3 linked regions of the Pelodiscus sinensis genome follow. The protein of the gene in region 1 binds, or shares a complex with, the protein of each later gene. Links are inferred from orthologs where the notes say so. Each region holds a gene or a part of one and is shown on either strand. Other genes may lie near its edges. The genes, in order: GDF11, FST and TGFBR1.

Region 1 (10,243 bases):
TGGAGCAGCGTACAGAAGAGTCGATTACTTTGCCTTGGAAGCACAGTATCTGCTAACAGCAGCTCACCACAGGGAAGACAAGAACTGGCAAAGCCTGCGGCTCATTCTCCCCTTTGTCGAACATCTGGAAGAGTAAGAAGATCCATCTACACGCTACGGCAAGATCACGCCTGCGGCACTGTACACCTCGGAAAGGTGGGTGGGGGTCCAGTTACCAACAGGATGCTGCATGCACCCCGCCAGCTGTGTTTAAGAAGAATCTTGGGGATGACCTGGGGAGAGTGCATCCGGCCTAGCAGAGCTGCATCTGGTCTCAGTAGCTAGAGAGGGGGACAGTGGCTTGGCCATGTCATCTGGCTACCCTGCAGCACAATCCCAAGGACTAGCTTAGATTGGATTCCTCCCGGAGGGAAGACACGGTGCGGAGGACACGGAATGGCCTATCCCAGTCGGGTCGGAGAGAGGCGCCCCACACTCCAGCCTACGTTCAGCTGGAGGGAGAGTGATTTCCTGAGCTGGTATTTCGCCTTGGCACCCTGAATCCCAGAGGCCGCCTCCCAGGGGAAGACTGGAGACCATGGGTGGCCGGGAGCTTGGTGGTGAGTCTCAATCAGAAGAGATGCTTCCTCCCTGCACCCACCTGCCTGCCATGCTGTTATCCAGACACCCCGCCCCCCGCCCGCAGACTGCACTGTGGGTGACTCCCACCCCTGTACTCACTGGGCTCAGGAGCAGTCCCAGCATGGAGAAGAGGGGTCGTGGCCAACTGAGGGATGAGCAGCCACCGTGTACCAAGCTAGCAAGTTGGATCGCTGTGGGCAAAGCCACGGGGGCGGGCACTTGGTGCTCTGTGAAATTCCCTGGAGAGCCGAGACCTGGAGACCAGCGACGCATTGGCCACTCGGGCCTTTGGACAAGGAGGGGACAGAGACGCGGACGTTTCGAGGGCTGAAATCCCACAGTCACTAACCCTGCAGCCCACAGAGCCTGCCTCCCTGCACTCCCACCCCTCAGGGCACCTTAACCCTCCACCCCCTTGGTCCCCCAAGACAGGCTGTTTTCGGAGAGTCATGGCCAGGCATCTGTGTCACTACAGTGCAACCCCTCGCACCCGTGCTGTGTCTGAGAGCTCCCTGCACCCACCTGCCCCCCGACCCCCTCCCTGCACCTCCCTGCCTACCATCTTGCCCACCCCTGTTCTCTCTCCTCTGCTTGCTGCCCTGTCCCAGGCTGGCCGGGGGGTCGGTGTTTGGCCGCAGCTTGGTGGTGGCAGCGCTGTCAGGGAAGGAGGTTGCATTGACTGCCTTGCCTTGGAGACAGGCCCGCCCCCGAGTTCAGGCTGTGGGTCTCTGTTACTGGGTGACAATGACAGGCTGGGACCCCTGGGCATCCCTAGGATGAGTCCAGCCCAGCCAGCAGCAGCCTCTCCCCTGCCCCTAGGGCAGCTGCAGGCCAGGGGAGCTCAAGCCTGTGGGCTGTTCGCTGCCTGGCTCTGGCCGGGGGCAGCAAAGGGCCCAGCTGGTGCCAGGAGCAGAGAGATCTCACAGTGGCTGCTCTCCAGTGACCTCCAGGCACCTCGCCTTTGCTAGGCCCCAGCCAGCTCTGCACAGCGCACCAGCCTGGCTGAGGGGGGAGGCCAAGGAGCCGAGCCCCAGGACTCGGGCATCACCCAGCTGCTGTCCAACCTCCCGCTGCTCCCACGGCAGAGGCCTTCAGGCTCCAGCGCTCGGGCGGGCTCCTTTCACCCCAGCTGCGCTTGCTGTTCCACAGCGGATAGACTCCCCAGTCACCCCGCTTGGCTCCCCCAGGCCAGCTCTGCTAGGGCCCCTCACTCCTGACCCACAGCAACCCCCTTCTGGCCCAGCTTTGCCGGTGCCCTACCCTCCTGACCTGCATCCCGCTCCTCACCCAGCCCTGGGCTCCCCAGCTCTGCTGAGGCCCCTTGCTCCCGCCTCACAGATGGGGAAACTGAGGCACAGGGCGGTGACATAACTTACACAAGCTCACACTACAAGGATTGCTTCCTACACGTCCTGGCTTGCAGCCCCTCCCGAACCAAGACTGGCACCTGGCTGCGTGTCCTGCCAGCCGCCAGGCCCTCATTGCTACAGCGCAGCCTTGCTCCTGCATGGGCAGCACCTTGTGAGCCCAGGGCCTGCCAGCCCGGACTGAGGCGAGGCTGTAGGCTGGGCATAGCACCTCTCAAGTGTGGTTCACGGTCTGTTCAGGTTACTCGCTGTGGGGCAGCTCCCTCCGCCAGGCACCCCATCCAATCAGCCACACGGCCACCTGCCCCATCTCCCCACATGCACGCCACATACCCTCAGTGCCACCTGTCCTATCTCCCCACATACCCCCACCTGTGCATCTCCCTGCCCCACCCGCATGGACCAGCCAGCACAGGGCTGGGATACCCAGAACGGCCTTGTTCGGGGTCTGAGGGTCTCCCCTGTGCAGCCAGAGAGGCGAGACCCAAGGTGCCACCTTCAGAGCCTGGCTGCAGCTGCCCCCAGCCACCCAGGAGGGAGAGCGGGTGCCTGGGATCCGGAGGAGCCGAGACCCCAGCCCCTGCCAGGCACCAGCTCTCGCTGGGCGATGCTTTCAAACAAACTTTCTCCCTCGGCCAACTGGAGCACCCCCCCCCCCCATCTACTTCCCAGGAGCCAAGCGGGGCTGTGCCCGGAGCCCCCAGCCAAGCTGCCAGCCCCCCCCCCCCCCGCAGGCTCAACGCCCCCCAGGCTGGGCAGAGCGAGTCCCTGGCGAATAGCGGGGGGGGGGGGGGCCGCAGCGCTCCCGGGGCCTGGGCCGCTGGCGGAACCGGATCAAACTTTCGCAGCTCGCCCCGGCGGCAGCCGCTTTGCCGGGCACAAAGCGAGCCCGGCCGCAGACAATGCCGGGCGGCCCGCAGCCCCGCGGGGCGCCCGGAGCGGCCTTGGGTCCCTGCCCGCGGGGGCGGGACCCTCGGCTTTGCAGGCGCCAGGTTCCTCCGGCCTGGGGGGGTGGGGGGCTGCAGCCAAGAGCCCCCCCCCCCCGGGAGCTGCACCCCCAGCCCCACCCCCGATCCGCACCGCGCGTCCAGGGGCGCAGGCAGGAGCCCGCAGCTCCCCCCGCTCGCGGCGCGCAGCCGGCTCGGGGGGCCCCCGAAGTTCGCCTCGGCCCCCCGGCGCTAACAAAGGAGCCACCTACTCTGCTGGGCCATGCTGATGACAGTCTCGGTGGTGGCGTGGTACTCGTCCTCCTCCAGGTACTCGTCCTGCGGGAAGGCGTCCCCCTGGAAGTCGTGCAGGTCCAGCAGCTGCTGCAGCGGCGGCGCCTTGGGCAGCAGCTGGTTCACCACCTCGCGGGTGATGTTGGGCGCCTCCTTGAGCCGCAGCTTGCTCAGGATCTGCGACTTGATGCTCTCCAGCCGCATCTCCTTGCTGTGCCGCCGCCACAGGCACACCGGGCAGCCCGGCTCCTCCGCCTCGGGCCCCGGGGGGGGCTGCCCGCCGCCGGCCCCTTTCTCCACCACCTCCCCCGGGGCCAGTGCCACGGCCAGCGCCAGGGCCCAGAGGAAGAGCGAGGACCTGCGCCCCGGCATGGCTGGGCGGCCGGCTCCCCTCCTGCCTCCCCCCGCCTCGGGACTCGGAGTCGGGCCGCGGCTGGCTGCGAGGCGGGGGGGCCGGGGCAGAAGTTGGCGGCCGGTGCGCGGAGCCGGCGGGTGGCGAAACTAGTGGTGCTGGCCGGGGGGGGGAGGCTCGGAGGACTCGGGGTTTTATATCCCAACTCCACTGTGTCGTAAAAAGCCTTGATTGGCTGCGGGCGCAACAAAAGAGCCTCTGGCGAAAGGGCTGTCACCGGAGGAGAACCAGGAGCGAGCCGAGCCGAGACGGCCCGAGCTCGCCAGGCAGCGGCTCGCCAGGGGAGGGGGCGGCCGGGCAGCCCCTTAAAGAAACAGGCGCCCCCGCCCCCACTGGGCTGCCGGGCCGGCCCGCCGCACCCGGCAACTTCGGCCGCCCGCGGGGGGGTGGGGGCGGGGGGCGGGTTGCGCTCCGGGTTTCACAGCGCCCGGCGCGGCCGCCGAGCCCCCTTCTCCCCGGCCGGCTTCAGCCTCCCCCCGAGGGCTGCTGCGGCCCCCCCGCTGCGCTCGGCATGTGGGAGCTGCCGCCCGGCCCGGGCACGGGCATTCCCTGCCTTAGCCCCGGGGCCCGGAGCACGAGCGGCCAGCGCGCGGGGAAGGGACCCCCGCCCCGCCCCGCCCGCTCCCGGACCCGGCGAGCCCAGGAATCGCCCCCCGCTTCCCCGCTGCCACGGGCAGGGCCGGCCGGTGAGACGCGGGCGGCGCTGTGCGGTGGGCGCTGGAGACGCTGTCACGGGTGACAGGCCCGGGGCGATGCGATGCGCCGCGGAGGGGCGCAAAGTGCAGCCAGCGACTGACTCCTCCCGGGGAAATCCCCAGGTCTCCCAGCCCGGCTCTTCTCGGGGAGGGGCGGAGGGGAGAGAGATAGAGACGGGTAGAAGGAGAAGGTGTGTGTGGGGATGGCCGGGGTGTGTGTGTGGGGATGGCCGGGGTGTGTGTGTGGGGATGGCCGGGGTGTGTGTGTGGGGATGGCTAGAGGAGTGTGCGGGATGGCTAGAGGGGTAGGGGGGATGGATAGAGAGGTGTGGGAGGATGGCCGGGGTGTGTGTGTGTGAATGGGGTGAGAGATGTGTGGGGATGGCCGGGCTGTGTGTGTGGGGATGGCTAGAGGGGTGTGCGGGATGGATAGAGAGGTGTGGGAGGATGGCCGGGGTGTGTGTGTGGGGATGGCTAGAGGGGTGTGCGGGATGGATAGAGAGGTGTGGGAGGATGGCCGGGGTGTGTGTGTGGGGATGGCTAGAGGGGTGTGCGGGATGGATAGAGAGGTGTGGGGGGATGACCGGGGTGTGTGTGTGTGAATGGGGTGAGAGATGTGTGGGGATGGCCGGGGTGTGTGTGCGGGATGGATAGAGAGGTGGGGGGATGGCCGTGTGTGTGTGGGGGGGGATGGTTAGAGGGGTGTGCTGGATGGCTAGAGAGGTGGGGGGGATGGCCGGGGTGTGTGTGGGGGGATGGCTAGAGGGGTGTGCGGGATGGCTAGAGAGGTGGGGGGATGGCCGGGGTGTGTGTGTGGGGATGGCTAGAGGGGTGTGCGGGATGGATAGAGAGGTGGGGGGGATGGCCGGGGTGTGTGTGGGGGGATGGCTAGAGGGGTGTGCGGGATGGATAGAGAGGTGGGGGGGATGGCCGGGGTGTGTGTGGGGGGGGATGGTTAGAGGGGTGTGCTGGATGGCTAGAGAGGTGGGGGGATGGCCGGGGTGTGTGGGGGGGGGGATGGTTAGAGGGGTGTGCTGGATGGCTAGAGAGGTGGGGGGGATGGCCGGGGTGTGTGTGGGGGGATGGCTAGAGGGGTGTGCGGGATGGCTAGAGAGGTGGGGGGATGGCCGGGGTGTGTGTGTGGGGATGGCTAGAGGGGTGTGCGGGATGGATAGAGAGGTGGGGGGGATGGCCGGGGTGTGTGTGTGGGGATGGCTAGAGGGGTGTGCGGGATGGATAGAGAGGTGGGGGGATGGCCGGGGTGTGTGTGGGGGGGGATGGTTAGAGGGGTGTGCTGGATGGCTAGAGAGGTGGGGGGGATGGCCGGGGTGTGTGTGGGGGGGGATGGTTAGAGGGGTGTGCTGGATGGCTAGAGAGGTGGGGGGGATGGCCGGGGTGTGTGTGGGGGGATGGTTAGAGGGGTGTGCGGGATGGATAGAGAGGTGGGGGGGATGGCCGGGGTGTGTGTGGGGGGATGGCTAGAGGGGTGTGCGGGATGGATAGAGAGGTGGGGGGGATGGCCGGGGTGTGTGTGTGGGGATGGCTAGAGGGGTGTGCGGGATGGATAGAGAGGTGGGGGGATGGCCGGGGTGTGTGTGGGGTGGGATGGTTAGAGGGGTGTGCTGGATGGCTAGAGAGGTGGGGGGGATGGCCGGGGTGTGTGTGGGGGGATGGCTAGAGGGGTGTGCGGGATGGCTAGAGAGGTGGGGGGATGGCCGGGGTGTGTGTGTGGGGATGGCTAGAGGGGTGTGCGGGATGGATAGAGAGGTGGGGGGGATGGTTAGAGAGGTGGGGGGATGGCCGGGGTGTGAGTGGGGGGATGGCTAGAGGGGGTGTACGGTCAGAGAGATGGATGGGTAGTGTCTGGGGACAGCCAGCCAGAGGGGAGTATCTCGGGATGGAGGACAGACTAGAGAAAAAGAGGAGTCCCTGTCAGCTTCCTTTGGTTTGGGGACAGGCTGTCGGACAAGCTGTGGCGGCCAGGGGGCCCCAGCGGAGCAGTCTGAGGGCCCTGGGGATGGACACGGTCTGAAGCAGAAACTGCTGGGTTACCAATCAAACATTCACACCATCCCCAAAGCTCCTCTCCCTGGCGCCCAGCAGGACTGGCAGGTCCTGGGATCCACTCCGCTGGGGCAGTGGAAGCACATTGCTCCTTTCCCTGGGGGTGACCACTGAGCACTTCTACTTTCAGGGCCTTTCCCTCTTGTCTTAGCTGCACCAGGGCAGAGAGGCCCTGGCTGGTGGCGGGGAAGGGGAGGGGGTGTCTTTATTTGCCATTATTATTGGTACTAACCCACCTGGGGGTGGTGAGGTAGGTAACCCACCGTTTGGTCCCCGACGTTTATCCACTGTTGTAACAAGCCCGCCCAGCCCTGCTGCACAGCTGGTCCCCGCCTGGGAGAGCCAGGGGCAAAGCTACCTGCTGGCGCGATCTTGCTGGATGTTTCAGCACATCTGGTCCAGGAGAAAGCAAACCCAGGGCCACCTTTCAGCATCGCCTCGAACGTAGGCTAGGAAGGGTCCCACCCTGAGCCATGGCTCCAAAGGCCCGGGGCAAACGGACACCTGTCTTGGATTATTAGTATCCCATATATGGCCCAGCTGGAAACCTCAAAGGGGCTGGGAACACCAGCCAGACCCCCCACCTCGCATCCCCTGCCCCCATCAGAACCATGGAGAGAGAATCAGCATGGCACAGACCTACCTGCCTGGAGCCACGTGCCTGAGGTGTGGAAAGGGCCTTCCGATAGCTCCGCTCTCTGGAGCCGTGAATCCCTGGAGTGACTCAGCCTCTTGCCCTGGGAGTACCCAGGCTCAGTGCCCTGCAGCGTGGTGCATGGGAGTCACGCGGAGACGTCCATCCAAATCACAGCCCCAGATCGTACCAGAAGGCCCCATTCATTTTGTTGTGCAACACACAGGCCATGCCCCTCTGCCCCGAGCCCAGGGGCTGGCTACAAGGCCTCCAGCCTGGCGCTGAAGCCAGCAAGAGCAGAACCTGCCACGTCCCCTGGGAACCGGGCATCGCTGAGTAAAATATCCCTTGGTGGGCGATGAATCTGGCGCCAAGGCCTCACTCAGCCTGGTCTCCCAGAGGACTGGGCCTGGCTGAGGGAGCCTTGGCCTGTCCCTGCTAAGGCCTTAGGGAGGGGAACTATCTGAACCTAAGGTCTTACAATAGCTTCAATCCAGCCGCCTATGAGCTCCAGCGCCACGAGCCAGCGGGCACCAGCATCATTCATTCCGCAGGCCAATGCAGCCAGGTCCTGGGGGCCTGGAGCCGCAAAGATGTTCAGTGGCAGGAAAGGTCCTGCCCAACCTAATGGACTGACTGTGCCTGCGGGTGTGGGTCTGTCTGCTCCCTCCTCCTAGGCCTGGCTGCTTCGTGGGCCAAAGGCCCCACAAGGCAGACGTGAGCATCTGGCTGTTCGGACTCCACTGCCACAGATGCAAGGTGGCCTGGGGACGGGGGCCCTTTGCCTGCACTGGGTTATCCCGTGCGTCAAGCAGAGGGAGCTAGACAGACAGAGGGAGATGAGGGGAGAACAAGCAAGAGACGTGGACGGACGGACAGACACAGCTTATGGGGCTGGATACATAGATAGAGGGGGTGCATGGGCTTAGACAGACAATTAGGTTAGTGCTGAGCTGTATTCCATCTCCTGAGACGTTCCCAGCTAGCCTGGATACAGGTGCCCAGACCAGCACCAGCCAAGGACAGACTATTGGACCCCAAAGGCTCCTGTCCAGCTCTGTCATCCGGGATCTTGTCTAACCCTTGCCCCCCAGCCTCCCACCTCCACCCAGAGCTGTCCTGCAGACGTGCCTGGGGCAGGAACCTGCAGAGACTGAGGCAGGCGCCTGGGGTGAGGAATGAGGGCTGCACATGAACCATTCCCAGCCCAGGCACTAGCCTTTTACATCCCAAATCGCCTGAGACGTAAGGCCAGGAACCGAGCGCTGGGCAAAGGGTCCAGGGTGTGTCCTGAGCTAAAAGACTCCCCAGCTGGGGAAGGTGGCTCCTAAATGTCCACAGGGGCTCAGGCCAGCTCCTCCTCCCCATGGGTCTTTCGGAGCCAGGCGTGGGCCATGCATTACCCTGGAGAGCAATCGCCTGGGGCCTACATCAGCAGACTTGGCTTCAGCAAGGCCCCGCCGGATGGACACCCAGAGCCGTGTGCGGTGGCTGGACCTGGGGCAGGCCGCAGCTGTGGATGCCGTGAGCAGGACAGAGGGCAGCCGTGGAAGGGAAGGGCTGGGATACGCAGCATGGCGGGGGACTGAGAGCCAGATGTCGTAAAAGCAGGAACAGGCCCTTTGGAAGCGGCTGAGCACGGCCCCGTGCGTTTGTCCAGAGGCAGCTGGCTCACGTCTCCGCGTGCCCCTGAGGCCATGTGAGCTCCCAGGGCTGAAGCCAGACTGGAAATAAGGCGCCGTTCTCCCAGAGCCAGCACCGGGGCGGGTTCTCCAGCTCAGCTGGCGCCAGGGCAAGGGGGGGTGCATGCTGGGGGCAGATCTCTGGCCTGCGCTGCCCAGAAGGGTGACAGACAGTCCCAATGGCCCAGTGCAGGCCTCACAGTGAGTGTCTTTTTGGCTCCTCAAGGAGCCAGCATGGGGCAAGTAGGCCTGGCTCTATCCTGAGGCTTTGGGCCTAGGCTGAGTGACCTTGGCCAAGTCCCTGCACCTCAATGTGGCTCAGTTTCCCACCAACAGGATGGAACTAAAGCCACTTCCTCCCCCGTAGAGGGGTGGTGAGGCTAAACAAAGCCACATCTGCAAGTGGCCAAGGCTGGAGGTCGAGCTATGAGCATGGCTCCCCGGGGGAATTAGCTAAACCCTCCAGCAGGTTCCATGTGAAATCTGGACTTGTGGGTGCCCTGAAATATTCCAGGTGGCCCCAGCCAATTCTGGAGCTGCTGGAGCCATTCCTTAGCCAACCACGTCGACTGCTGGGCCAGATTTTCACACATTCTGGTCCTTTTCTCCAGCAGCCCAGAGGCTTTGCTTTCGGCCTGGAGGTTTTTCCTGTTTGAAGCCACCCCGGCCATGGGCAGTAGCAGCTAGAGGTGGGCTGCCATAGCAAAGCGATTCCTGGGGCTCTAAAAGAGATGTCGTGATTATCGGCGGGGAGCCTGGCAGCCGGAGAGACAGTGGGAAAGCAGAGATGTGCAGCTGGGGCCACTGGCTTCCCTGCAGCGCGGCACAGCCAGGCGTGTGACTCTGTCAGCTCCTCCCCAGCCTCAGGCGCAAGGAGAAAGTCAGTTAACTTGTGTGTCAGTGTGTGTGCGTACAGTGGGTGAGGGTCCATCAGGAGCTGGGGGCTCTGGATTCCTGGGTTCTCTTCCCAGTGCTGTGTGTGCGTGAACTCGTGGGAAGTTCAGGGGTGGAGGACTGGGAATTTTCTCTATGACCAGCTCTGGAGAGCACTTTGGCAGGGCAGTTGCAGTGAGAAGCAGCATGGGGACATGGGAAGAGGGACCAGTCGGGCTGTGAATGGGTTAGTGTAAGCTCTGTACGTGGCAGGTCAGTTTCATTAGCCGTTAGCAAAGGTCCCACCGGATTCTTGAGGGATTGGCTGGTTTTTGCTTGGGGTGGGGGGAAGATTTTTGTTTTAAAAGAGATTTATTTGCACGCTGAGTCCTGTGGGCTGCATCCGGCGGTGTCACAGTTTCCCTGCTCTGTACGAGGGGAGGGGAGTTGTAGTCCGGCCTGGAGCTTGTGCTGCATCATGACTGTAAAGGGAGCAGAGATGGGGAAATAATGACCAGCAGTTGTTTTAATGCCTGACTCTTTGGGGGAGAGTCCCCCTAAGGAGCACAGCCGCTCTAACCATTGCTCCGTGCAGCCCACATCGAGACAGCTCTCAAACTGCAGCTGTCCCTGGGCATACCCACGGTCGCCGGAGTGGGGCTAGATCATTAAAAC
Region 2 (10,589 bases), on another chromosome or scaffold:
CAGTCTTTACTTATGTGAGCACCTACAATTCCACTAGTATACTATCTTGTACATTTTTGTGCAAACTTAATTATACATGTATGGCAACTTGTAGAATTGTGTGTGCTACTCTGCATACTTCAGACAGAATCCATAAAAGTAATTTCTGTAGAATGTTTACAGGAAACAGTACTTTTAAAACTTGTTACAGGTGAAATTTAACAACACAGTCCACAACACAGTCCACAATACAAACAATATAATACAATACAGTGGAAATATAGGGTCTTAGAATCAAGTTACAACATGAACTCTTGCCATGACTATACCATAATTAGTAGAGACTCATTACTATATCTTGTGTAAATATTTGTTAATATAATCAAACCTACCTATATATTTTTAAAATGTGCATCTGTCTGTCCATCTGTCTGTGAGTCTGTTTGTTCAATAACTCCTCCTAAATCAAATTTAGTATGCAGCTTCCTCTTCTTCTAACTTAAAGTAAGGCCAGGATTTGGTTGGCCAGAATGGGATCCTCCTGGATGGAATTGTTTTCCATAACACAGAAAGGGAAGGGGCTGATGCAAGAGACTGCACAGTGACTACTGAGGACAGCGAGTACAGGGAACAGCTATATTGCAGAGTGACCTCGGGGGCAACCACACCACCAAGAGAGTGGCCAGCACGAGACCAGGTAAGTGCCCTCCCCCCCCCCCCCCCCCCCCCGGCAACTTGGCTGCAGCACCAGAGCAGGGGAAAAGGGAACCCCACTGGCCAGCAGCCTCACGACCCCCCAGAGGAACCACAATCTCCACCTAGCATTGCAAGGCCACCAAGTTCACTGCCCTCCAGCCAGCTGTTTGGCCTCCCATTCTACCTCCCAGGCCGGCTATTTCAAAATAGCTTATTTTGAAACTTTACACATCCACACAGTGCCAAATTTCAAAATATCACGCTATTTTGAGCCATCCTTTAACCCTCATGCAACAAGGTTTACCGGGATGGCAAAACTGCACCCATTATTTTGAAAAATATTTTGAAATAATGGGCAGCTTGTGTGGACATGGAGTAGCTATTTTGGGATACCTCTGGGCTGTGTCTAGACTGACCAGTTTTTTGGGAAAATCAGCCACTTTTCTGGAAAAACTTGCCAACTGTCTACACTGGCTGCTTGAATTTCTGCAAAAGCACTGACTTCCTACTGTAAGAAATCAGTGCTTTTTGTGGAAATACTATGCTGCTCCTGTTTGGGCAAAAGTCCCTTTTGCGCAAAAGGGCCAGTGTAGACAGCTGAGATTTGTTTTGCGCAAAAAAGCCCCGATCGTGAAAATGGCGATCGGGGCTTTTTTTGCGGAAAAGCGTCCATGCCAGTCTATACGCTCTTTTCCGAAAATGCTTTTAATGGGAAACTTTTCCATTAAAAGCATTTCCAGAAAATCATGCCAGTCTAGACGTAGCCCTGGTGTCCTGAAATAGCTGTGCTGGGTAGATATACCCTTAAGCTGTGTCTAGACTGGCAAGTTTTTCCGCAAAATCATATGCTTTTGCGGAAAAAATTTCTAGCTGTCTACACTGGCCGCTTGAATTTCCAGAAAAGCACTGACGATCTCATGTAAGATCGTCAGTGCTTTTCCGGAAATACTATGCTGCTCCCATTTAGGCAAAAGTCTTTTTCCGAAAAACTTTTGCGCAAAAGGGCCAGTGTGGACAGCACAGTACTGTTTTCCACAAAAAAGCCCCGATCGTGAAAAAGTGCTTTTGCGGAAAAGCATCCTGCCAATCTAGACGTGCTTTTCCGAAAATGCTTTTAACGGAAAAGTTTTCCGTTAAACGCATTTTTGGAAAATCATGCCAGTGTAGACGTAGCCTTAGTGTTTAATATCTTACATCCATAAACTTTTTTCTCTCAGCTTTAGGAAAAAATAAATTGTCAATATCCTTGTCCTCGTCTAGTTAGAAATATAATTAAATTTCATATCAGTAGCATACAAGTATAAATTCTGTACACAAATTCTCACTCATTAAAGAAACAAATGAATTCTATCTTAAAGTACATCCAGTACTTGCAGAAAGTAATATTAGAACTTTGTTAAGACAATGTGAAGCTAAGCATTGTCTATTTTAACATGAAAATGGCCTGACCATACAAGACATTCTAAAAATGCACCCTTTCAATATATCTCTTTATGTATATTTTTCTGAGAAGCAGTTTGTGAAATTCTATAGCAAGTGTAAACTGTCCAGAGGTGAATCTCTCTACACTGAGAAAAATAAATTGCTGTCTAGTGTATAGTATAATGATGCTTAGAAAATTATTTACATATATATTTTTCAGAGAAAAGAACCTATTAACTAAAAGGTCAATTTTCAAAAGTAATTTTCAGAAAAAACAGCTAGGGGTTGAAAACTGACTGACTTTGTTTCCTGAGAGGAGGAGAAGTCAATCATCTCAGCACAGATACCATCTGATTTTGTGGCAGACCAAAATCAACTAGCCTAGAAATGTCCATCTGCAAAACAGAGTGAACTTGAATCCTTTTCCATCCCTCCCTTGAATTCTGGATAAAGATGTGGCAGGAAATGCTCCCACACGTGTCCACTCACAAACCAAACTCCTCCCCAAAACTTTTACTTTTACTGATTGAGGCCCCAGACTACCACCAACATCCCAAAAAAGATCTGTCACCCAAAATATTTGCTTCTGCTAGAAGAAAGGGTCGAGAGGTGACCTCTTCCCATTAGGGCTACATCTAGACTGCAAGCCTCTTTCAAAAAAGCTTTTTTCAAAAGATATTTTCGAAAAAGAGCGTCTAGACTACAACCAGTACTTTCAAAAAAGCAAGCCGCTTTTTTGAAAGAGAGCACCCAAGCAATCTGGATGCTCTCTTTCGAAAAAGCACAGTTTACATTACATAAAGCCTTTTTTCAAAAGATCACTTTCGAAAAAAGGAGTTATTCCTCATAAAACGAGGTTTTCCACGGTCAAAAAAACTGCCACGTTCCTTTGATTTACTTTCAAAAGAATGCAGCAGCAGTCCAGACGCAGGGGAAGTTTTTCAAAAAAAGGCCACTTTAAAAAAAACAAACAAACATGTAGTCTAGACACACCATAGGGTTATGTCTACACTAGCCCCCTAGTTCGAACTACGGTGGGTAATGTAGGCATTCGAACTTGCAAATGAAGCCCGGGATTTAAATATCCTGGGCTTCATTTGCATGTTCCCGGGTGAGCGCCATTTTTAAATCCCCTTAGTTCTAACTGACTGCCAGGGCTTCATTTGCAAGTTCGGATGCCTACATTAGCCACCCTAGTTCAAACTAGGGGGCTAGTGTAGACGTACCCTAGGAGATAAAGTCTGCTTCTTTATTAGGAAACTGGCCCTTGGCAGAAAGCATGAGAAAACTCCAAGACATTAATAAAATGAATACTTAGTGTCCACAACAATAAATGACAAAAAAATAGTTTGTTTAATAGTACATTTCACACAAAGTAAATCTGAAGAACTATTTTGTTCCTCAAGCAGTATTTTACTGCTACTGCTTCAGAGCCAGGCCAGTCAATATTTACATAATATTTGTGATATATAGATAGACAGATTTTGTTATAGCCACACATCTATTGTATACATCAGAGATATACCCAAGCTGCAAGAGTGTATGTGAATCTAAATCTGAATCTGAACTTTGCTGAAGCTTTATATCTTTGTATCTAGCATTTTAACTTAATTATATTTTTATTTGTATTTGGAGACTGGGGCCAGCTGCAAAATTTAGACCTAAATCCAAAATCACATATTAAAATTGATAAACATCTTGCAAAAAGATAGTTTTTAAAACTGACAGTGTCAGAACAACAGTCTTTTATGTCCTGCCTGACAATTCAGTTATAGAGTGGTATATGTTGCCAGTTCTGTAATTTATATTTACTTGTTGGCAAAACAAAGAAGTGGGGAGAAATGGTAAATAGAGGCAAACAGATACATGAAAAAAGTTTTTTGATTAAACAATGCATCTCTGACCTTTATCTGTATACAGACCCAATATTTAACATTTAAAAAAGACAATACAATTAAAGAAACAGCAGCTGTTTCTATGTGATGTCAGAAAACAGGTGGGATGCAAGTTTCCATGCCAGTGCAATCATATTGATCTCCTGATGATGCACATATGAAGCACATATGCAACCATTGTTGACCTATCATGCGACTCATTTCCAGGAATATGGCCAGATAATGCCCCAATATAATAAACAAACACTGTCTAGAATCAGTATAAACATTTTATCTGACAGATCAATAAAAATCCAAGGTGAAGCTGAAATAAAACCAACATGTGTCTGTATCACAAAACAAATACTGAGATCCCTATTCACAAGGGCAGCAGAAGCAGCAGCAATTTGTTGTTTCCCACACTGCCCTGCCAATGACCCCAACCCTGACCTGAAGGGGCCACCCTCACTTTGGTGAGAGGCAGTTCACTCTTGGGTCTGCCTGCGGGGGAGGACAAAATGCTTACTTATGTGAGTGGGGGTGATTTTATAATGTGGACTACTGGGTCCACTGGGAAGAAACTCAGATCCAAAGGTGCTGGAACAATTGTTTTAGTGGAGGTGCTTAGAACCATTGAACCAAACTGTAAATCCTGTATATAATTGAAACCACTTGAAGACAGGAGATCCTGCAGCACCTCCTGCATCCCTACTTCCAGCATCCTATGCTGAGACTCGCACCCCCAAATTCATGTTATGGATCTGAGGGACACTAGTGAAAGGTTTGTAGTACTCACCTCATCCCTACGGACATATACCTGAGAGAGAATCCTTGTGTCTTTATGAATGGTAGGAATGGGGAGTGGATATACACCCCACAAAACGTTCCAGGCCTATGACTCACCACATTTCCTGAAAGTTTTGTAACATTTCCTAACTAAGCAGAGGTGATATAAGGTTAATGTTGTACCTGGATTTTACACTGCTGTTTAACAAAACTGATGGGCCTGGGGAAGAGAGCATGTCTGAAGTTATCCACCTATTTTTGTTCCTTGGGCCTTGTTGAGGAGCACTGAGAGAAACTATGCTTTGCAAAGCATGTTACACCATAAGTATCAAAGCCAACCCCCTTTTAAAAGCAGCCTTTATCCAGGAGCTCATGAGTAAGGGATATTTGTTGTTAATTGTTAATGTCATCTGCCATTAGAGGGCACTAAACAACCCTGCATTAATGCTGGTTGAGAGAGAGAGAGAGAGAAAGAGAAAGAGGGGGCACCTATTTGAGGAACGCTTTAAAAGGGATGTGTAGTCCCAAAAAAGCTTCTGAAGTTATCAGAATGCCCCAAAGCTGCTCAGGGATGATCACAATAATAGTAACACAAATTGTAGCGAGGTCAGTTATTTACCAGTCTGCTTCTTAATGCGTGTGACTGCAGGTGGTGCAACGGGACATTGTGATTCATGCTCACTTTGAAAGCAGGACCAGGGCCCGGTCTGAGGCACCCAAACAACTGTCTTCTAATATTAGCACGGCTGTATTTCTGGATCTATTATAGTCTGTCCAGACAGATCCCATTGTAATGGGATCTTTTATTAAAAGATTAGCACTATCTCCTGCAGTTGGTGGAAAAAAATCTGTTATCACTGAGTTATTTGCAGTTGTGATGGGGGAGTAAGGAGAAAAGCTTGCAGAATAAAGAGGGGGGGAGTTACGGAGACTAGGATGGGGTGGGGAGGAATCGGTAGAACTTTCACATAAATCCCATTGACCTGGCAATGTCCAAGAATTTTGTCTGCATATTTTGCTGTCTGTTGTGCTTTGGTGGCTCTGAGCAGCAGCGAAAGAATCGAAATTAAAAAGCCAGCTTTTGAATAAACAATACCATTTTCCGTTAAGTAATCATTTTGTATAAAAGGAAATATCGCCTACTCAGTTTCATTCAGCGATGCCAAAAAATGTTATAAATGAGAGACCGCCAACTTTCTAAGGGGAGAATAATGCCAGACTGTGCTTAATAAAGTAGTGCTCTAGAAGTTCATTATCGATGTTGCAACCTTTTTGATTCTGAAAGGAGACCGCCTACGTCGCCCCCCTAATTCCGGTCTATACTGCAGGCGCTCCCAGTGAAAAGATTGTCACTTGCGCAAAACCATAGGTATTAAACTTTTGTTTGGTTTTGACCAGTCACAGGGAGGGAGGAGTGTGCGCGCCAAACACTTAACTACTGTTTGAGGTGTTGGGGTAAATTTATTATTAGTCACAGACAGGGAATGGGAATCACACACACACACCCCAACAGCAACAAAAATCGTGTCTTCCAAGAGACGTCATCAACTTTTGCTGCGCCCCAAAACTTCTAACAAGAAGCAAAAACATTTCCGCGCGCTGATCAGATTGTGTTTGTTTTCAAGTTCCTTTTGGCCACGATGTGGGGGCTAAAGGAAAGGATCACGCCTCTCCTTCCCCACAGAAGTGACATGGCTCTTGCTTTAGTCCTATGAATTGTGTTAAAGCCCCTAGTTCCTCTGCGTGCGCGCGTGCGCGCCTTCTGGTATTAATGACACAAGTGGATAGTTCTTTTCTCTCTCTCTCTCTCTCTAAGCTCTAGTTACCATTCTGTTTTTGCACTCCTTCCTGTTACTACGCAAAGAACTCCAGCGTTTCCCTCTTGCAGATTTGATGTGTATGTGTGTGAGAGAGAGAGAGAGAGAATGCACCTAAAACAGATAATTGGAAAGGGTTTCCAGAAGGTGGAAAATGTCACCTGATTCACAGCGAACTTTTTAAATCTCCCCACCCCCGAACACACACACATTAGGAGACCGCCCACCGCAGACAGCTAAGACCCCCTTATAGATTTAAAGAGAGACTGCATTGAGAGGCTGACGTTCATTCAATAGAGCGATCATAAGCAGACTGACTAGTGCTCTCTGTCTCTCTCTTTCTCTGCTCCACTTGATATTGTTTCTGCCTCTTTCACTCACGGGCATACTGAGGATGTTAAATCAGAGAATCCACCCGGGCGTGCTTTTATTCCTGATGCTTGTGTGCCACTTCATGGAAGATCATACCGTACAGGGTAAGATGAGATTATTTGTTTGCAGTTGTGTTTTATTTTCTGTCTTTTTCTCAATGTTTAGTTGTCTCCTGCGAACGCCTCTCTACAAGGGACCAGCTTAAGGAATAGAACCTCAACTTAACTGTGAGAGTAGGACCGCTTTGTACAAATGTATGGAGGTGACATATTTGATCGGCTCCACAAACGGCTGGGCATAGTACTGAGGAGGGATGGTGATGATGATTGTTATTTATTATTATTGTAAAGCATGAATGAACAGCAGCCACACACAGGAACTTTCTTACTCCAGCAGTCTTAAAGTTTTTGTGGCAATGGAGCTTAGATTTTCCTCTCGGCTGCTTTGGCTGCAAGGATGGTGAATTCCGCGATCACAAATGACATTTTCAGACGCTAATATTAGTCATTTTCCCGCTATCCTTTCAATATTCGTGTGACAGCCTCCCGGCCGCCCGTTCACATCCACGTTTGTGAGTGAATTGTGTTGAGCTATGAATTCTGCTGCACTAGCGAATGTGTTTAAATACATGTCCCAGCCGAGCAAAACAAACAGAAAATGTAATAGTTGTCTTTCCCAAATAATTATTGGGGGAGGAAGGTTCTTGATGCCGCTCCGTTAACAACCTGCATAACTTAGATTGTTGTTTTTTACTGAAGGTTGTTGGGTTTGGGGTTTTTTTTTCGCTGAGCTGGATGTATAGGTTAACTTTGTGAAGGCAACTAAAAGGAATTCAAAGCTGACTTCTAACAGTCTTTTGAGCCAGGAAAACTGATTTTCAAAAGGGTGTTGTTTATTCACTAATTACCTTTGGGGACGCTTCCCTCTACAGTCTCCCCATGTATATCGGTCTGAGGGACCGATCCTACATTCCTCTCCGGGAAAATTCCCAATGGAGTAAAGAGACAGGATCTAGCCCCTGCTGGATAAGTACCAGAATCAATTGCTTTTGAGTTGCTGGAGAAGTCACATTGGTTATTCACGAGAGGCTCATCCCAACCAAAACCCTCCAACTAAAAAAGGGGGAGTTGCTTGGACTAATGTTCTTGGCTTGAATCCATAAATAGCAGAGATACTAGTAAAACAAATCTCTATCCGATGTAAGTGCAGTGTTACTCTCTATGAAACTGCGTCTGAAACAGACGACATCTATAACTTTTTATCTAGTGGCCTCCTATTTCTGTGCCCCGGCATCTTGTTTACTTTGATCGCCCTTCTTTGGATCTCAGTTAATTTTCTTCAGCAAAGAAGAGACATTTCCTAAGGGAAGCAGCAACATTTCGAGATTTCGAAAGACTTCGCCAACAGGCAAATATTACCAATTTTTGCAGATTGTTAAAACGGCCTCGAATGAGACTCCGGGCAGCACTAGAACAGTGTTGTACAGCATTTTTGAAGAGGAAGAAGGGGGGAGGTGTCTGCAAGGGTGTTTTATTTTTATTCTTTTTTAAATACAGATCCTTTTCATACCTCTGTCACGTGCATGCAAGTCCCCATGGTCTACATATGGAATAAATACCTCCGAACACTGCCTTGTCCTGTTTCGATCGGGTTATTTAAACTGCGCTGCCTATTGCCCCAGAGTAGCTGCAGGTTATGAAATGGGACAAATAAAAGTAAACAGTCTAGTAAAAGTCAATGCAAGCCGCACGTGTTGTGTCTGGGTCACTGGTAACTGACATTGATATGGCTGGGTCTCGTTCTCCTTCTCGCTCTTGCAGCTGGGAATTGTTGGCTCCGGCAGGCAAAGAACGGCCGCTGCCAAGTCCTCTATAAGACTGATCTGAGCAAGGAGGAGTGCTGCAAAACGGGCAGGCTCACCACTTCATGGACTGAAGAAGACGTCAACGACAACACGCTTTTTAAGTGGATGATTTTTAACGGGGGCGCCCCAAACTGTATCCCATGCAAAGGTGTGTTTGCAAAGTGCTCCGAAACCGCAGGTGCAGGCACTGGGGTGGTGGGGGTGGCCGGGACAGAGTCAGCAGAGGTAGCAGTGTTTCCCTGTGTCGTGCTCCAATTACGATTTTAAAGTTCATCCCAGGAAGTAAATGCTCCTTGGGACCTGGAGTTAGTGAGAAGGGGAAGGGATGTAGCCTCTGCGTGGTCAAATATGATCCAGAATGATCCTTCTATTTGGTGGATCTCTCAGGACCCCACATTTTGTTTTCTGGCTGAAAAAAAAACAAACCTTGTTCGCTCCCTTTGTATCGTGGGATTGTCGGGGTATTTTGTAAACACTGTTTATCTGAAGTCTGATGAGCAGAGTAGGTATTAAAATGTTGCCTCTTTCGCCTCCTCCCCTTCCCCCTTTTAGAAACGTGTGAGAACGTGGACTGCGGACCTGGAAAGAAATGTAAAATGAACAAGAAGAACAAACCTCGGTGTGTTTGTGCTCCGGACTGCTCTAATGTCACTTGGAAAGGTCCTGTGTGTGGCTTAGATGGGAAAACCTACAGGAACGAGTGTGCTCTCCTCAAAGCCAGATGTAAAGAGCAACCCGAACTTGAAGTCCAATATCAGGGCAAATGCAAAAGTAGGTTTGCAAATCTAACCAAGTCCTCCCCGAATAATACAGGGTGTGTGTCTGAGTGTAGGGAGGAGGAGCTGACGTACTTCCCCACAATAACAAGATGTTTCAAATGCTGAGGGACAAAAAGTAAACCACGCTCAACCGACAAACCATAGCTGATTGAGAGTCCCCCAGAGTCATGCCGCGCTGTGTTCACACCAGCTTCCCTGAGATATGAAGGTTTTATCCCGTGGCTCTTTTTTTTATGAAAGAAGCTGCCGAAGACTTTGATTTTATCATTTCCTCGATTGTTTCACATATTCACTCCCAGTATGAACCATTGGATCGCCTGTTAATATGTTTCCGTCTTTATTTCAGAGACTTGTCGGGATGTTTTATGTCCAGGCAGTTCCACGTGTGTGGTTGATCAAACTAATAATGCCTACTGTGTGACCTGTAATCGGATTTGCCCGGAGCCTACTTCCCCGGAACAGTATCTCTGTGGGAATGATGGAATAACGTATGCTAGTGCTTGCCACCTGAGAAAGGCAACCTGCCTACTAGGCAGATCTATTGGATTAGCCTACGAGGGAAAATGTATCAGTAGGTATCAGCCTTTGGAGTGCTTATAGGGGAAGAGGGAATCGTTCTTCATAATTTGTTGTTTCACAGTTTAGTAGGCAGGTATCTGCATGCAGGTTATTTCCTAGAAGTGAATGTGTTGTGGACTCCTGCAGTTTTTACACAAACAAATGGGGGAAGTTTGCTTGAGTGACCCACACAAGATTTTGGGCACCAACAGGGAACAAAGGGTTCAATCCTTGATATCAATGTGAGTTTCCATACTATTTTTAATAGGAGCTGTAGTAAGGCCCTCAAATGTATTATGACTTGACAACATATCATAATAGATAAAAAATAGTCTTGCCATGAATGAAAGGACAGGATGAGATGACCAATCCTATGATTCTATGAACAGAGTAACACAGTCTCAACATTCAGATGATCTGGATTCTTGGAAACATTTGTCTT
Region 3 (10,501 bases), on another chromosome or scaffold:
CAACTTGATCACAGTTTACAAGTATCTACATGGAGAACAAATAATTGATAATGGATTCTTTAATCTAACAGAGAAAGGTGTAACGTAATCCAATGACTAGAAGTTGAAGCTAGAGAAAGTCAGACTGGAAATAAAACACAACAGTGAGGGAAAGTAGCCATTCAAACGATTTACCAAGTGTTGTAGTGCAATCTCCATAATTGGCGATTCTTAAATTCAGGCAGTCATTTTGAAATAATGTTAAAATTCTGTCAAGATGGAGGCCGTCTTACTCTGACTCCTGTAACCCTCATTGTACGAGGAGTAAGAGAAGTCGGAGGAAGAGTAATCTGCTTCGAAATAAGAGCTGTGTAGATGGTGCCAGTTTCAAAATAAGCTATGCAAGTGATGTAGCTCAGTTTGTACAGCTTATTTCGAGTTAAGCCCTGCTGTGCACTCTCACTGGCTCTACTGCTTAGGGATTCACTTGCCAGCACTCACAGTGGGTTCTGCTCTGTCCCTCTCCACCAGCTGCCCAATTGCTGTGCCTTTCTGCTAGCTGTCCTGCTGGCTGATTGCCCTGCCTCTCCACCAGCCATCCTACTGGCTACTTGCTTCACCTCTTTGCTCGCTGCACCCCCTGCCAGCCATCCTGCTGGCTACTTGCTATACCTCTCTGCCAGACACTTGCTCAGATGTCTTCATGCTTAACACAGTTCTCCATGATTTCAGCTGAGGTGGAGGAGCCTCACTGCCAGTACACTGAGTAGTCCCTTGTATTACACTGTCTCAAAGCAGGTCTAACACTTAGACCTAAGTATCAGTGATTTCAGTTCTGCAGCATGTAATAAGACACTCAACTGAGTCTAAATTAGCACTGTTATAACACAATTGGGAGACGGAGAATGTGATGGCATCTAGGGTTTTCACGCAGGACTCACACTCCTACGCATGCATAAGTGTGTGTGTCATGTGGTTGAGTTGAGGGTGAATCTGTCAGTCAGAAAATGCCAAGTACAGTTCTGCTGCTCTTGATTTACACAAGGATAACAACCCTGTATTATTCGTGCCCCAATAACAAGCAGACTGGGGATCCCACACCAACCAAAAGTGACCATATGGGCATGCAATCCCATCATACTGAGCACCTAAGCAGGGTGGGTGTACTGAATATCAAACAATATCAGCTCCTGAAGTCATCACTAGATGTGAAGGGAGAACTCATTCAGACTCTGTGTACATTATAAAGAAGAGGAGGATGGGACAGAGAGGTTGTTGCTCAGGAATGTAGGCAATCAGAGTGAAGTGGGGGAATGAGAAGCTATAACGGAATAGTAAGGGCTTTTTGGTTTTGTTTTGGGGTTTGTTTTTTTAAAGATTTTAAGCAGCAGGAAGCTTGAATGAACTTGATGAGGATTTGAGACTTTTTTGAGAATTATTTTATTTATTGTAATGAAGTCCAGACCAGAGGTAGAATTCCTGATAACGTATATTAACTGAATGAATCCCTGGTTGTTCAGAAGATATCGTATTTTAAAGTAAACACTAGTCTTCGACACCAGACAGAAATGTAGACTAAGAGATTTTCAACATCCAAACTATCCTGGCCAAGACAAATCCTGCTTTAATTTGATCTTGTTCTGACCTGTTGAGACTCGACTATATTGTACTTAAAGTAACTCAGTAATGAGCAATCCCTGCTAAGAAAACTAGGACTCAGCCCTTTGTCCCAGCCATACTGAAGAAATACCAGGTTGGAACAATTTCACTCTAGCTTCAAAATACTCTAGTCCATATAGTAAAGATGCAAGTTAGATGTCTTGTATGCATGTATTGCAGTGGCTGTCACTCATTCTGAAGATCCTTTACTAAGGCCAAGATTTTAAAAAAATGTTATGCCAAATTACTTATGGTAAAATTATATAACAGACATATACCATTTATAGAACAAAAAGACAATACCCAATGGAGAACTTTGCTCTCCATCACAATAACTGATACATCTGGGATCCATCAGGCACAATTCTAAGCAACTTGTAGATCTGAGACACCACCTCACAAATATTCTATCACTAACATGCCTCTGAAAGTTTAAATATCATCCATTTGCCTAGCTCCTTGTTAGTTTCAGCACTGTAGGACCTTTAATCTCTGTAGTAAATCACAGAAAATAGATTTGCTAGACACCTGGAACTGTAGTCCTAAGAGGTTTTCTAGACTAAAGTAGCATCTTGAATTGCACCCAGAATCAAATAGGGAACTAGTGTTGAAGTGCTGGAGCAATATGTTCTCATTGATAAATGGCATGTAGTAGCTGCACTCTGAACCAGCTGTAGAATCTTCAAGAAATCCACCAGGTAGAACACATTGCATCAATCCAATCTAAAAATAACAGCATGAATTACTGTTATGAAACTCAAACATAAAGGTTCTCTTTGCCGCTGACTCAGAATAAGCACAGCTGCATGTCTTGAGTGCAGACATTGCTAGGTAGCAGTGCTAGGACAGGTGTGATGAATTAGATATTTCTGCCAGTAAAAAGGAGGTTTCTCCTCTCTTCCTCCAAGTTATAATCCTAATTTACTGTCATTAGGAATTAGTACTGATAGTAGGTGAGTGTATCCTTCTTCCTTCCATTATTGATTCTCATATTGTTGTATGAAATGTTGTTGTTAAAACCATTTAAAAACCAGGTTGAACGAAGCTTTTAAAAACAAACAAAAACTCAATATAAAAAATCTCTGACTTTGATCAGGGTTGATTGCTGGTTTTGCTATACCTCTAAAAAGCTCAGATGCACCAATCAGATTTGAGGCCCCTGCAGTATTAGTCCCAAACCTCACTATGGCTTGTTAGAGATGTGGATCCAGGCTCTTGGATAATGGCCAAATCAATCCAGAACTTAAGAGTCAATGTAATAGGATCTATGAGAACTCCTCCTTCCTAAAAGCTATTCTGGTTGTTCTCTTTCAGTCAGAGATCTCCCTGTCTTCTGCACTTATTTGATTGAATTCAACTATCACAGGAAAGCTTCAAATGTAATAAGCTTGCCAAATGCAAGAAAGGTTGTTCTCTGGTTACTATTACTGGGGAACATACAAACTGCGCTGCTAAGAGGCCAGAACCCAAAAGGCGGTCTTATATTCCTATGGGATGTACACACTATGGTTTGCTCTTCAGAGATTCTAAAATCATAGTTAAAAGAGTGTGGGGGAAAACTACCTTGTCTTGAAAACTGTGCTTCCAGCATTGACCTGGCATTGAGCCAGGAAGTCTGGCAACCTGTTACTGAGATTGCTTTTGACTGGATGGTGATCCAGACGACTTATAAGCTATATCCAATAGGACAGAAAATGTTCCCCACTCACTCTAGAAAGGTTGCCCTTCACCTTGGTCAGAATTGCAGGATTACCACAGACACATAAACCCTTCAAATGGATAGCTGGAATTAGATCCCAAGCACTTCCAGGCTTTCTTAAGTTCAGCATATTGGTCTCTGTCTCCACTACCCCTCCACTTGCTAACTGGACTGTTTGAATACGTCTGTGACTTGACATCCACTTTGGATAGATAGTGTACCTGAACTGGAATAAAATGAAAATGTAATTCAGTACAGGCAGTAACAATGGTGGAAGCAAAATGCTTAGGCCCTAGCTATGCTAAAGCTTTTAACCTTTATATTGCCAAGAGAGTTATAACCAACACTGCTTGTAAAAGCTTACAATCTCTGCTTTCAATGGTATAAAGCATTAAACTTGCATACAATGTATATGCAGATATCAATCTCTACAGTAGTTTGATTATAGAAATTTATCGGCTCAAAGCTGAAACCCAAGACTGTAAGCTTGAGTGGCTTACTAGGTACAGAGCAAGGATCATTATAGGCTGTCAAATACAACAAGCTGGTTAGCTGCAGACTTAGCATCTTAGGGTATGTCTGCAGTGTGGTCTTCTACCTTTTTAAGCACAAGATCATTTTTTGAATGTAAGTGCAATCCAAGATCTACCTCAAACCCAAATACCCTTGCCCCACCTCCTTTGTGCTCCTTCTCCAAGGCTCCCACCCCTGCTCACTCTATACTCTCTCCCTCACCCTCCCTCACTTTCACCAGATGGGGGCAGAGGGTTGAGGTGCAGGCTCCGGTCTTGGATTAAGGGATCTGGAGTGTGAGATGGGCTCTGAGCTGAACCTGGGGCAGGCAGTTAGCGTGCCTGAGGGGGTTCTAGGTGCAGACTCTGGGATGGTGTTTGGATGTAGGGGTACTCAAGGCAACGGCAGGGGCTTGGGGTGCAAGAGGGGCTTCATGACTGGGGTAGGGTTTCAGGATGTGGGTACCAGCTGGGCACTGTTTTCCTCAGGTGGCTCCTGGGTGGTGGTGCAGTAGGGTTAAGGCAGGCTCACCCTGCATTGGCACTGCACCACTCCCAAAAGCAGCCCACAAACTCGCTCCATCCCATGTGCATTAAAATAAAATGTGGCAAAATCAAGCACCTAAATTAGTCTATAAAGTCAGAAGCTTGATTTCTCCTGTTAACTTTAACAGGAGAAATCAGCACACTGGATGGCTACGTCTAGACAGGCATGATTTTCCGCAAATGTTTTTAACGGAAAAGTTTTTCCATGAATAGCATTTGCAGAAAAGAGCGTCTAGATTGGCACGGACACTTTTCCACAAAAAGTGCTTTTGCGGAAAAGCATCCGTGCCAATCTAGATGTTCTGTTCCGAAAATGCTTTTAACGGAAAACTTTTCCGTTAAAAGCATTTCTGGAAAATCATGCCAATCTAGACGCAGCCTCACAGAAACATAGCTATAGGGCCTGTACGTGGTAATACTCAAGTGGCTAGACACTATAGCATTTTCAAGGCAAATTTAAGAATGCCTGAGAATTGGCCACTGTTTTTGGTTCAATGGTGCAAGTGCATTTGGTGTGTCCTAATTGTAACCTTACCTGGTGACTTCCATACTTGAAGATTTAGAAACTATTGGGTGAGTGAACAAGAAGCAATGGGCCTAAATTGCAGCAAGGGAGGTTTAGGTTGGACATTAACTATTCTAACAGTAAGTTTTTCCTAATCTTTGGAATAAATTGCCTAGAGAGGCTGTGGAATCTCCATCACTGGAGATCTTTAAGAGCAAGTTAAACACCTGTGGGCTAGATGGTGGCTGGTGTTGCAATGAGTGCAAGGTACACGAGGACCTTTCTAGGTCCATTCCAGTGCTATGATTAGGCATGGCTACAAGGACTTATTCAGGAATTTCCTTGCTTTCTGTCAATCTGATTTGCTGCATGAGAGGAAAAACTCTCAGAGTACTGTCTTGTATAGAGAAGGTGTGAGCACTGGGTGTGCACAAATCCTCCCTCCTCCAGCACTGTTGAGCGTTTTACTACCAAGGGCACCTTCCAACCCTGCTTCCTCGGGCGCTGCCGGCTCTATCTCGGACACCTAGTTACTTAGCTCCTGCGGCTCCGCTACCAAGTAGCAGGCCCGGCTCTGGCACCCTTGCAGCACGCTGCAGGCAGAGAGCGCCCCCCGCCTCACTCAGCCCGCATGAGCGGGATGGAGAGAGAAGGTGGAGGCGTCTCTGTAGCGTCCAAACTCTGCTGGAGCGCGAGGCGCCCCAACCCCCGCGCGTGCCCTGCCCCCCAGGCCCACAACGGAGAGAGCTGCTGGCCAGACGCTGCCTTTTGTCCACGCGCCAGTCCAGGGGAAGGGAGACGCAGTGCGCTCAGCCACCTCCCCCGTGTCACTCTCCCCGCCTCGCGCTCACCCTCCCCACCGCCACGCCCACTTGGCCTGGCGCCGAGCCGGTTGTATTTCTCCAGACTCTTGTTGTTGTTCAGAATGTCTGCAGCCGCCTGGGAGGCGGGGCTACGGGCCGGAGCGGCCAATCAGGAGGCGCCTGCGTGTCAGTTACATTATAAAGTGGCCGCAAGGGCGAGTGTGAATCGGAGAAGCGGCGGCGCGAGGCTGAGCCCGGGCGCGAGCGGGCAGCGCCATGGAGCTAACGGCCCCTCCGCGGCCAGGCTGGGTCTTTCTCTCGCTGGCGGCCGCGGCGCTGCTGCTCCCGGGGGCGGCGGGTGAGTAGCGGCCCCGGGGGCGGGGAGGCGGCTCCGCGGGTCCCCGCCGGCTCCTTTCAACAACATGGCGCAGGGGCCGGCCGGGCGGAGCCCGCGTCCCTTTGTTGGCCGAGTCCGGCGGCTCCGGGTGCGCGCGGAGCAAAGGCGCCGAGGCTGAGGAACAGCGGCCGGGCGGCGGCTGCCGGACCCCCCCCCCCCCCCCCTCCTCGCGCCCGGAACAGGGGGTGGAGCGGGGAGCGCAGCGGGTCCGGGAGCGAGGTGAAAAAGGCACCGAGCGCGCCCGCCCCCTTCCGGCTGTGGCACCCGCTGTCTGCGCCCCTGGTCCCGGGGCAGCACCACGAGCTCTGCGCCGCGCGTGGCCCTCGCCTCCGATCGTGTCCCAGCGCCGCCGCGCACGGCCGGCTGCCCCCAGCCGCTGGGGTCTGGTCGGACCCGGTTTTCTTCTTCTGCAGCCGGTTGGGCTGTGAGCGCGCTGGAAGTCGCCTGGCGCTAGCCGCTCTCGCGTTCCTCGTTCCCGCTAGTGATCTGGGGCTTGCGTGGCTGGACAGACCCTTTAACCCTGATACACAGAGACTTGCGCCAGTCCGGATAAAATGTCGTTCCTTAAAACTTCCGCTTGCAGTCCCAGGTGCCCGGTATTCGTAACCGAAATGGGGGAAATCCCAATATGTGCTGCAGGCTTATGGTCACAATGTAACTGTTCCAGTGTTCTTTACAAATGTAAGGGTGGTGGTGGTGGAGGGGAGAGAACTACATGTTGAATGTTCCAATTAGGTAAAGCGCAAAAAAACCCAAAACAAATCTCCCCCCCACCCCCCCAAAAAAACCACTTTTTTTTCTTGAGTCTCCTGAAGTAAGAAGCCACTCGCTCTAGTTGAGTTGGGCGCCAACTTGCAATATGCTGGTATTATGTACTCTGTGATTAAAAACTGGCCTGGATGATTGCTTAGATTAAATGCTGTTTAGGTTGTAAATCTGCATTGTATTTAAGCACCTTATTGTTATACCCACTAGTATACAAAATACACATTTATAAATAAGGGCAGCATATTAGAATGTTGAGTTAGTTCTTTCTACCCCAGCAAAATCCTGCAGTTAATCTGATGTCAAAACATATAGGTTGAAGTGTGTTGCGGGAGTTGTTTGTGACTTTGGGCAACTAAGAACAGTAACACAACTGTACCTTCAGTTCTCCAAATAACGCAGGATATGTTTGGTGGTAGGACTTAGTAATATGTCCTAATACATTAATAAAGGAGATGAGCTTTTGTGAGTAAAAACCCACTTCATCAGACGAGTTGGAATTCTGTAAATTCCACTTAAATGGGATTTTTACCCACAAAAGCTCATAACCTAATAAATTTGTTGATCTCTATGGTGCCAGAGGACTGCTCATCCTTTATTAATGTTAAACCAAACATCTATAAACCTGCTTAGTTACATAATCTTTGGGTATGCACATCTGTAATGCATCAAATTATCATAAACACAGAGGAATATTATTGTGTATGTTATTGCTTACTCTTTTGCCCAAAAGATAAAGCAAAATAAATACAGAATGTATGCAATATTAGAAGTAACTTTTGTTTCAATTTAAGAAATAAGTGTAACTTGGGAAACTGCAATACTTTTCTCTTGCAGTCAGTGTTAGATGATATGTGACTTTGAGACCTGGTATAGATAAAGGTTTTTTTTTTTTTTTGGAGGGGGATGGGTTAAGATGAGGCAGAATACATACATTCATATTTAATACATCTCTGATCTCTCATTAGAGAATCTTGGTAATCCGATAAATATTTGCTTAGTGAGGAGGGGAGAGACATCCTTTGCATGGGGAAGCAGAATAAGATTGTCTGAAATTTTCAAATTATTTTAAATCTTTTCAAGACACCTTGCTATTTCCTTAAAGGAAATCAGAAACTTTTAACAGAACTAAAGGTGTCTCTTTAAAGTTTAACTTTCTTCTACTTCACAAAAACGCAGAGGAAAACAACAGTTTTACACGTGAGCTACCTCGTTAAAATAATGCAATATGAGGTATTGTTTTCTCTGGTACAAACGCTGTCTTGGGAATAGTTAAGTGTGAACTGTGAAGTTGGATGACCCATTTCTTGGCATCTATACTACAGAAACAATGTTTCTTTCTCTTAAGTTGGAACCCTCTGAGTGTCTTAATTTTAAATTTTATCAAATTATAGTAATAGCTCATAAACAAATTCAGTACTGTCTCAATTCTGTATTGCTTCTTTAGGGAAAATGCATTTTCAGTGGAAGTTTGCCAGAGAAAGGAGTATAAAATGTCCCATTCTGAAAGTTGTCCTATATATGATATACCTAGGATTGTCAATTTAGTCATTTTATGACATTGAGTAAGTAATTTTTTGTAACTTATAAATACCTTTATTGCAGAATGGAGTGTGGTGCATCTTGGAGCTGTGCAAAAATCTAGTCGGGCACTGCTTTGTGTCTGAGCCCTCCTGTGGTATCCAACTTCCTTTTGTGCCTTTTTCCAACTGCCATTCTTTGCTGTACACCAGTGTTCCTGGTAAGCTGAGTGCTTGTGTGGCCACTCAGGAGAGAGATGAATACCATCAAGTTGATTAGTGGAGTGCCCGTAGCTAGGTGTTTTTCTACTGGTGGTGCATATTTGCATATGCTTCAGCGCACATAAACATTTATTCTGCACATAGATGCAGAAGCTTAGAGGGAACACTGGTGCACTCCAGCATCTGCAGAGAGACAGATTGGATCCCTCATTTTTCTCTTAAGTTCTATCAAGTTTGTGATGACATCATGCATGGCAATGCAGTTAATCGTGAAGTTACTGGCCGAGGAAGATTCATAGTCATCTGCCATTCTTTGTGATATGAACAGCAGCAACTGAGCACTGCTTCTAGAAATTGTGGAGCAATTGCATAGGGTAGACTTGCTTTTGGGCTAGAGAAACCAGCACTTATTGGTGGGTTCACGTTGTCATGCATGTGTGAGATGAAGAGCTATAGAATTTTAGGATGCATAAAATAACCTTCCCAGAGCTGTATGCTGAGCTGGTCTCTTAATTGTGGCACAATCTCACCAGAGTGAGTTGCCTTCTCAGTAAAGAAACGTGGCAGTTGCTTTCTGGAAGCTGGTGATTCCAGACTGCTACCAGTCAGTTGCAAATCAATTTGGAGTGGGGAAGTCTGCCGTTGTGCTGTTACTGCGAGTGTACAGGGCAATAAATCACATTCTACTACGGATGACCATGATTCTGGGAAATGTGCATGAAATAATGGCTGGCTTTGCAAAGGAGTGCTTCTGGAATTGTGGCAGAGTGATAGATGGCACATGCTTCAACGTTAATGTCCAATTTTGCAAAAGACTACATCAGTAGGATTGGGAACTTCATGGTGTTGCAGGTGTTTGTGGATCACCCAGGCTTTTCATAGACCAAGTGGGGTGGTCTGAAAAGAGGCATGATGTGTGCATTTTCAGGAACTCGGTCCTCGCTTGCAGCTTCCTGAACAGGACACTTTTCCCGGACAAGATTATAGTGGGTGTGTGGAAATGCCTGGGAGACCTGACTTATCCCTCTCCTCCCTGACACAGGGCACCTGGACAATAGTAATGAGTGTTTTTAACAGGCTGAGCATGTGCCATGTGGTAGTCAAACATGCCTTTGGCAGTTAGATGCCTCCACCATGACTTCAGTGACAGGCTAGACCTTCTTGGGGAATAATATTCCCATGGTCCTAGCCATGTGTTACACTTTGAATAACCTGTGTCAATCTAAGGGTGAAATGTCTGCTCAGGAGTGAAGTGTCTGCTAAGGCAGAGCACTTAGCTGCAGAGTTTGAGCAGTCAGAGATTAGAATATCAGAGGGCTACTGTTACATCCCTACCTCAAAGCCTCCTTGATGTTAAGCAACTAGTCAACTTCCTGATAAGCCCTAGGCTACATTTAAACTGCAGAGCTGCAGTGGGGTCCCTTAATGACTAATCATGTAGTGGATATAAATTGTATCTACTGCAAGATTAGTCAATTACCTGCTTAACATCCTTATTTTGGGGAAGCATTTTGACAATGAGGGGCACTAACATATATGTTTTGAAATTGCTTTCCTCATACATCCATGCAAAAATTTCGGCCTACCTGTCCTTGCAAGAAAATGCTTTAAAAGTCTGTACCTTGGACCAGTGATTGCTGTGTGAATTTGTGGAATGCAAAATAAACACTGTACTGTTACAAAACTTTGCCTTTATTGATCAAGAAAATACAGTGAAACACTCCGTTGCTGGTAAGGAGAGGCTTGGAAAAGGTAAAGCGTCACAACTGTGTGTAGGTCTAGCTATCACTGTCAGTGTTGAGAGAATGGGAAACTGAGGAGTCCCACAAAGTCAAAAGGTTGCTTGACAAGAAATTGTGCATGTGCAGCAGTGGAGGAAGACCCTCTCACTCTA

The links.
Region 2: the proteins of GDF11 (region 1) and FST are in contact, whole or in part, in a crystal structure (PDB 5JHW), measured with the Homo sapiens proteins. The link is inferred for Pelodiscus sinensis from reciprocal best matches to the Homo sapiens genes GDF11 and FST. Residues at the interface, in NP_005802.1 of Homo sapiens: Asn299, Leu300, Gly301, Leu302, Glu310, Arg312, Asp328, Trp329, Ile331, Ala332, Lys334, Arg335, Tyr336, Lys337, Tyr347, Met348, Phe349, Met350, Pro354, His357, Gln361, Ile380, Asn381, Leu383, Phe385, Asp387, Lys388, Gln389, Gln390, Ile391; in NP_037541.1 of Homo sapiens: Leu34, Arg35, Gln43, Val44, Leu45, Tyr46, Lys47, Thr48, Arg60, Ser62, Asp72, Asn73, Leu75, Phe76, Met79, Ile80, Leu134, Asp135, Arg149, Gln153, Pro154, Glu155, Val180, Val181, Asp182, Gln183, Tyr188, Val190, Thr191, Asn193.
Region 3: the proteins of GDF11 (region 1) and TGFBR1 are in contact, whole or in part, in a crystal structure (PDB 6MAC), measured with the Homo sapiens proteins. The link is inferred for Pelodiscus sinensis from reciprocal best matches to the Homo sapiens genes GDF11 and TGFBR1. Residues at the interface, in NP_005802.1 of Homo sapiens: Phe322, Ala324, Phe325, Gly326, Trp327, Trp329, Ile330, Met382, Tyr384, Phe385, Asn386, Asp387, Ile392, Ile396, Pro397, Met399; in NP_004603.1 of Homo sapiens: Ile78, Pro79, Asp81, Arg82, Phe84, Ala87, Pro88, Ser89, Ser90, Lys91.

The regions. Positions count from the first base shown.
Region 1 is NC_134729.1:4,525,321-4,535,563, forward strand, and holds the start of GDF11 (growth/differentiation factor 11), read right to left. Parts: upstream 4,009-10,243; 5' UTR 3,581-4,008; coding exon 3,187-3,580; intron 1-3,186. UniProt on the Homo sapiens protein: Secreted signal that acts globally to regulate anterior/posterior axial patterning during development. May play critical roles in patterning both mesodermal and neural tissues. It is required for proper vertebral patterning and orofacial development.
Region 2 is NC_134716.1:98,251,568-98,262,156, reverse strand, and holds the start of FST (follistatin), read left to right. Parts: upstream 1-6,576; 5' UTR 6,577-6,968; coding exon 6,969-7,050; intron 7,051-8,766; coding exon 8,767-8,958; intron 8,959-9,362; coding exon 9,363-9,581; intron 9,582-9,935; coding exon 9,936-10,160; intron 10,161-10,589. UniProt on the Homo sapiens protein: Multifunctional regulatory protein whose primary function is to antagonize members of the transforming growth factor beta (TGF-beta) superfamily including activin, myostatin, GDF11 or bone morphogenetic proteins (BMPs).
Region 3 is NC_134712.1:146,264,404-146,274,904, forward strand, and holds the start of TGFBR1 (TGF-beta receptor type-1), read left to right. Parts: upstream 1-5,891; 5' UTR 5,892-5,979; coding exon 5,980-6,061; intron 6,062-8,312; exon of another isoform or gene 8,313-8,420; coding exon of another isoform or gene 8,421-8,430; intron 8,431-10,501. UniProt on the Homo sapiens protein: Transmembrane serine/threonine kinase forming with the TGF-beta type II serine/threonine kinase receptor, TGFBR2, the non-promiscuous receptor for the TGF-beta cytokines TGFB1, TGFB2 and TGFB3.